Arabidopsis thaliana: one gene and its partner. The protein of the gene in region 1 purifies or fractionates together with the protein of each later gene. This does not show direct contact. Each region holds a gene or a part of one and is shown on either strand. Other genes may lie near its edges. The genes, in order: PGY2 and SUMO3.

The links.
Region 2: the proteins of PGY2 (region 1) and SUMO3 purify together in Arabidopsis thaliana (affinity purification with western blotting, with the first as the bait; one study listed by BioGRID). This does not show direct contact.

What each region holds. Positions count from the first base shown.
Region 1 is NC_003070.9:12,021,216-12,025,295, forward strand, and holds PGY2 (Ribosomal protein L6 family), read left to right. Parts: upstream 1-2,009; 5' UTR 2,010-2,144; coding exon 2,145-2,519; intron 2,520-2,684; coding exon 2,685-2,807; intron 2,808-3,200; coding exon 3,201-3,287; 3' UTR 3,288-3,568; downstream 3,569-4,080.
Region 2 is NC_003076.8:22,384,424-22,387,918, reverse strand, and holds SUMO3 (small ubiquitin-like modifier 3), read left to right. Parts: upstream 1-1,713; 5' UTR 1,714-1,847; coding exon 1,848-1,922; intron 1,923-2,099; coding exon 2,100-2,249; coding exon of another isoform or gene 2,250-2,340; coding exon 2,341-2,451; 3' UTR 2,452-2,662; downstream 2,663-3,495. Other genes in the region: SUMO2 (small ubiquitin-like modifier 2), read left to right, coding at 3,147-3,218. UniProt on the Arabidopsis thaliana protein: Ubiquitin-like protein which can be covalently attached to target lysines as a monomer. Does not seem to be involved in protein degradation and may function as an antagonist of ubiquitin in the degradation process.

The DNA of each region.
Region 1 (4,080 bases):
AGCTTCAGGAGGAGATGAAGAAGATGAGAGGAGGTGCAGATTTGGGGATGTTTTTTTCTTTTTTTTTCGGTCCAATTTTTTTTTTTCTGGATGGATTGATCAACTTTACAAAATCTCTGGCAAATATTTGGTAGATTTTTATTTTATTTTCATTGCTTTAACTTATGAATAAATCTATATTTTGAAAAATAAAAAGCTTGTGTACTTCTCGAATGTTTATGGTCTTAATATTGCTGCTTGCTTCGTTTTGGTCGCATGATTTTAAATTTACTAGGTTATAAATCCACGCGTAATTTTTTTATCAAAATTGATTCTTAACTCTATTGATTTTTATAATTTTTAATATGGTATATTTAAAATAAAATGTTTACTTTATTAGAAATTTTAATACTATAATCAATAATATATACTTTTCACCAAATTATATTACGCGTGGGTTCAAAACCAAGTGTTAATTACTTTGAAAAGCAAATTTTATATAATAAAATTTTAAAGTATGATATACTCATAACTTGATTTTTTTTTTTTTGCCGGCTACTCATAACTTGATTTGGTGCTATTTATGACAATTTCTCTAATTTATTCGACTTTTGTTATTTTGTTCTTTAAAGCAATGATAAATTATTATTTGGTCTGGCCCGGAACGGACTGCTTTCAAATGGACCGGGCCGCCAGCCCACATACTAACTCATTTAGATATAAGTTTCTTCTAACCTCTCTTTCTCTAAAAAGCTGTCGGCGAGTGGGAGAAGCGCAGAGAGAGCAAACAAAGAGCAAACTTGAATTATTTCTCCGTTGGCTTTGTTTGAAAATATATAAAAAAAACAATTAACGGGCCATGAGCTTGTTGCAAATAATCTATTTATTTTTCATTTTAGGATTTTTGTTTCTCGACACGAGTTGAGCTGATTTTGATAAGCCCACATGACATTGTTTTAGAGTTTCTGTTTTTCTTCTTTATACTTTTTAAAATGCGGCCAGTGAATAATTTTCTAAGGTTTATGCTTTAATACAAGTTAAATAATTTTTTTGTAAATAATTTTTTGTTGGAATGTCAAATTTATTCAACAAAAGAAAATGATTACAAAGAGTTTTGAAAGGTAAAAAATGGAGAAAATAAACGTGAAAAGTAGAAACAAAAATGATGAAATTGGCGCCACTTACATCATTATAGAAAGTTCAAAAGGCCTAATTCTGACACAATATTATTAACGGGTCATGGGCTTAATGACAATAATAAACTTTTCTCACTTTTGAGTTTTAATAAGCCCACATTTGCTTTAGGGTTTCTGCGTCTCTATCTTTAAATTGCTTCCGACGATTCATAAACTAGGGTTTCTGCCTTTAGCCGTCGTGAGAGAGAGAGCAAATCGAAGAGAGAGCAAAGAGAAAATAATATGTTGTTTGCGTTTGGTACGGTGACTCGATCTGTGGCTAATTCAGTGGTGGTTTGCTACGGCTTTCTTTCGACAATGGTGTTTTCTTTCGACCTAAACTTGATAGACCGAACCAAACTGAACCAATTTTTATATATATTTACTCAATTAAATCCTAAACTCCTCTATTTGATCTGAACCCGATCAACCCGAATACATAAATATCTAATCTTATCCATCTGAAAGGATACTAAACTCTCTAATTCGAATTACCCGAATCCAGAAAAAGCCGAATAGCATGCATTCTATTGGTACTTGATTATATTAATTGGCATATATATGACCTGTTATTGCCAATAATATATTTTGGGTGTTTCCTGGGCTTCAGTTTTATTGGGCTAGGAATGGGTGTACTTTTAAACCCACTTCTGATTAGTCTCTTAGTAAAACCCACTTTTAAACCCACTTCTGACCCACTTCTGACGCCGTCATTTTTCTTGAGAAGGAGAGAGAGCACCACTTCCGTCATTCCAGCCCAATATTTTTAACGGGCCATGGGCTTATTGTAAATAATGTATTTTTCTCATTTTTGGTTTTCTTTATGGGCACGATTTTAGTGGGCTGAATTTTGATAAAGGCCCACATATGAAAGATATTTAGGGTTTTTTCTCTTGATACCTTTTAAAACGCCGTCGAGAAATCTCCCTCTAGGGTTTCTTTGATCAAACCAGAGAGCCGTCAGGGAGAGCAAAACAAAGATCGGAGAAGATGAAGACGATTCTTTCTTCCGAAACGATGGACATCCCCGACAGTGTTACCATCAAGGTTCACGCTAAAGTGATCGAAGTCGAAGGACCTCGCGGGAAGCTTGTTCGCGATTTCAAGCATCTCAACCTCGATTTCCAGCTGATCAAGGATCCAGAGACTGGAAAGAAGAAGCTTAAGATCGATTCGTGGTTTGGAACACGCAAAACCAGCGCCTCCATCAGAACCGCTCTTAGCCACGTCGATAACTTGATCTCCGGTGTTACCAGAGGTTTCCGTTACAAGATGAGGTTCGTGTACGCCCATTTTCCCATCAACGCCTCCATCGGCGGTGACGGAAAGTCTATCGAGATCCGTAACTTCCTTGGCGAGAAGAAGGTTTGTTTTATCTTCTTCATCTCTGATTTGATTCTCATAGATTCGTGTAGATCTCGGAATGAAATAGACTGACACTAGATTCAACTTTATGATTGGACGATGATGATTGATTTCTGAGTTTGCGAGCACTGAACTTACATAGAAATGTGTTTATTGGAATAATAGGTGAGGAAGGTAGAGATGTTGGATGGTGTAACCATTGTTCGATCTGAGAAGGTGAAGGATGAGATTGTTCTTGACGGTAACGACATCGAGCTTGTTTCAAGGTCATGCGCTTTGATCAACCAGGTACTCTCTCTAACTAGCTGGTATCAAAGAGATTTAGGTGTTATCTAGCCAAATTTGCATTTTCTTGGGACTAAAAGGTTGAGAGATTGTGTTAGATAGGTGACACGGTTCAGTTCTAGGAATCAGATTTTGCATAAATGAAGTGAAAATCGATTTGTATTATCTCTATAGGTCTCTAATAGACGATTAGATTACTCGCTAAGTAAACTTTGCCAATTTTGCCTATTGTTTGGCTTCTTAAGCTTTTCAGCATTGTGTATGAAAGTGTTTTTTTGGTTGATGTTTGAGTTTAGGATCACATTTTTGCATAGTGAAATCAAAAGGATCATTTCAGTGATTGATTTACGTGTTCAAGTCTTTGTTGTAATCTTTTATGTTGTGATTGTTGTGCAGAAATGTCACGTGAAGAAGAAGGATATCAGGAAGTTTCTTGATGGTATCTATGTTAGCGAGAAAAGCAAGATCGTAGAGGAAGAATGAATGCCCATATCATCGTCTTAGCTCCTATTTCTTGTCTTTTGAATGTTAGTTTCGTTTTATGGACCAAATCCACCGGTGTTGCAAAACTCTGGCTATCCCTTGTTCCCTTTTTGTGTTCGAGATTTTATTTACTTATGCACAAGTTTTGGAGACGAGCTATCATTTTCACCTTTGCTTAATTAAATCATATCGTGTGAATTTGGGATTGTTCTGGATTTGGCATTGTGGGTTGTGCATTCAAAATTGATACTTCAGTCACTAAACTAAAATCAATTTCTCGCAACGCTGTGATCAAACATAAAGATAACTTGAGACAACGAAAGCGAGCTTTGCAATTTGAGAAAAGCTACGAGACGCCCTGATGGTCAGGTGATCAATATTAGTGCAGAATGATTCTGCTTTCCAGAAGTCCTCTTTCAACCATCGTTTATCATATTGGAAGCACCGAGGATTCATGAGACAACTTATAATTTAATCATGAAATGTGATTTCGACATCAGAAAGGACTAGTATGTTAACATTGTGCTCAGTGGCGGATCAACCATGTTTCCAGGAATTGCTGATCGGATAACCAAAGAGATCACGGGGTTGGCACCTAGCAGCAGGTGGTTGCACCACCTGAGAAGAATATTGGAGGATCCATCTTGGCTTCTCTTAGCACATTCCAACAGGTACCGTAAACTCTTTAACCGTGTGATGATGATTCAAGTTATTCACACAAAGTACTGATGTTTGGTGTGGATATCAAAGGCAGATTACGAGGGATCAGGGCCAGCCATTTTTCACAGAAAAT
Region 2 (3,495 bases), on another chromosome or scaffold:
ATTTATATGAAATATTTGATAGTAACATTGACTGATTCACAAGTTGGTTGTAACTAATATTTTGACTTAGCAAATTGGGCTAATGAACGCGTTTAGATGTGCGGAGGAAAAATGAACATTTTAAGGTTAGCTAAGCTAAGCAAACACCTCAAATTATTTTCCAGTAGTATAATAATGAATTAATCTAAATGGTCCATCTCCGTCCATGGATAAACAAAAAACGATATTTGTAGAGTTTAGTTGTCCTATACAAATAGAACTCTATCGCTAAGCAATTAATGTTTCCTTCTGATGTAAAACCAAGAATTTTGGATGACATTTACGGCTAGTTTTACTAATTACTTGGTGAAAGATGCTTTTTAGATTTATTTGAATTTAATAATTGTGGCCGAATATTAACGGTTATGTACATATAGGCATAGAATGTTAATACACATACGGTAATTACTACTACAGTTTGAAATATAGTTTTATCTTCGGTGATTGAGACCTGAATAATGAAACTAATTAAGAGTAGACATCATAATAACTCCACTATCAAAAGAGAAAATAATAGACATCATCATTTGGTAATATTGTATTTGATGATTATATACATGTTTTTGTTTGTGTATCAACTTGTCCACTAGGTGGTAATCTTATATGTATCAATGTATGCTGGTTTACATATACTTTAGTATAACAATTTAATTTTTGGATTATGAAAGTAACAATAATTTAATAATGTATCTATGGAGGTTGTCGACATCGTACGGTATGTTTCGACAAGGCCCTTAAGTCTTAAGTCGGTACATGAAATTGAAAATGAAACACAATGACAAGTCCATATGAAAATTGAAAACATTATAATATCCAGAGAGGTGTGTCACCTTCAGATTGACTTATTTGTAACTATTATGAGTTTATGACGAATTTCTAAATATAAACGTTAACTAATATATTCGTATAAATATAACATCATCATTATTAGTTTCTTATCAACCAAGAGAAAGAATTCAATGTGGTAGGTCACTTGGATGCTGTCCAACAAATTGAGTTTTAGATAGGAATGTTAGCATTGTCCCTGATCTTTACGTTACGATACAATGCCTATTAGTTTATCAAATTAAAAACTGGAAATATATTATGTCGGGCCGAAATAGAAGTCGTCACGAAACATAGACTAACCATTTACACACTATGACGGTCGACGTACATTATTTTTTAATATTAAATAATAACCATGCATGCATTAGAAGTTTAGAACATCAAGAAATATATAAATTTTATAAAGAGAGCTTGCCCTAAACTTTGTCAAATAATATCATAATTTTGAGTTTCTTTTTAAAATACCACAAAAGTTATGTTTGCTAAGATTTTTAAAAGTTTCTAACTGTTGTATTTTTTTTGAAATTATTAGATTACCGTGGTAATTAGATTTTATTTTTAAATATGATTTATAAATTTTCTAAAAACTATTTGGTCGGTTCACGAAAATGGGTTCCAACTTTATATACTGTGTAGAAGTAATTAAGCCCACATATGAGCATATTTGATCTTAAACCAGCCCAATAGCCCATTACGAATGCTTGATTAAACGGCAGTGTTTTCATGTACGAATTCCACGCTCTCCTAGCCGTCGGATGATAAGCTACAATGATTATGAGCCGTTCGATATATCACCACAAGAATCTGTAGATCAAAAGTGAGTGCGATCAAGAACTGGTTTCAGTCACTTTTTTGACAAGTCTCTCTTTCTCAAAAGTCAACCCCTTATTTTGCAATACTGTATTGTGAATCTCTCTATCAGGCCTTCGTATTTCTCACAGACTGGAGTTTTTGTTTCATAAAATCTGATAAAAGGAAAGATGTCTAACCCTCAAGATGACAAGCCCATCGACCAAGAACAAGAAGCTCATGTCATTCTCAAGGTCAAGAGCCAGGTTTTTTCACTGTGTTCCCTCTTTAATCTCCTTGAAATTTTCTGTCGTTGCTGCTTGGTTGATAATACTATATATACAGTTTCTTGATATGAAAACTTTGATGATACTCTTTTCCAAACTGTGATGATCTAAAGTATAGAGTGATTAAAATCTTTTTTCTTGATTGGTGATACTAAGGATGGAGACGAAGTCTTATTTAAGAACAAAAAAAGCGCTCCACTTAAAAAGCTCATGTATGTTTACTGCGACCGCCGAGGTTTGAAATTAGACGCATTCGCTTTCATTTTTAATGGAGCTCGTATAGGTGGCCTGGAGACTCCAGATGAGGCAAATCACTCTCTTTTTCATTTCCCTTTTACAATTTATATGTTTGTCAAAAGTGTATCATTTACTAAACCAAGATTCTCCAATTTTAAAGCTTGATATGGAAGATGGAGATGTGATAGATGCGTGCCGGGCGATGAGTGGTGGTCTACGAGCAAATCAGCGTCAGTGGTCTTATATGCTTTTCGATCATAATGGGCTTTAATTAGGAATAATTTGGCTGGCTTTGTGATATTTGACTACTTTCTTCAAGCAAAATTACTTGAAGTTTAAATCATGGTCGGTTATCGTGTGTGTAAATGACTCATGAGTGATTGGATCTTATGAATTATGATATTAATGGTATCTGGTTACGGATTTTTAGAATCTTTGTACTTTGTTAATTTTACAACCGTGAATAAACAACTCATCAAAACCTCTAAAACTCAAGTTGGCTAATTGTAAAAGGTCACACAACAAAACCATATTAAACAATTGAAATCTTTACTGGTTTGATCAAAATCAAACGGTTCACTTTGAACATCTTCACTTTTCCCAACTCAAACAAATCTACTCGAAAGCTGAGATTTTCACATTTTAAAATTCTTGGGTAGACACAGAAGTAACCAGCCCATTTGAGCCCATTAAGAATGCTAAAACGACATCATTTTAAGTTAGAGATTATACTCACTCACAGCCGTCGAATGATATAGATCAATGATTATGAACCGTTAGATAAACAAGAATCCGATGCGACCAAAGATAGTGGTTTCAGTCTTTTTTATTCTCTGCCGAGTCTCTCTCTCTCCCTCAAACCCTCAAGTTCTGCAATCCCGCGAATCTCTCTTAGGGCTTCGCTTATATCGCAGATCGAAGTTCTTGTTTCCAATCGCCGACCGTATAATCTGATAATAAAGTAAGATGTCTGCTACTCCGGAAGAAGACAAGAAGCCTGACCAAGGAGCTCACATCAATCTCAAAGTCAAGGGACAGGTTTTCTATTTCTCACTCACTCTCTCGACTTCTATTTCTTGCATTGTGTAACGATTCGTTGTCTGGTTAAAGTTTTGAGTGTGATTAGGATCTTTATAGCTTCTGATTGCTTCAATTCTAGGGTTTTGAGTTTGTCTGCGTTATTCCCAATTTCTATTCTGGTTAGCTTGTCTATGAGGTAGTGATTATTGTGTAAGCGTGACTTTTAATTGGCTTAAATTTGAAGCAAACAAAAGTTATCTGAGAATTGTGAATTATGTTTTGACTCATAATTGTA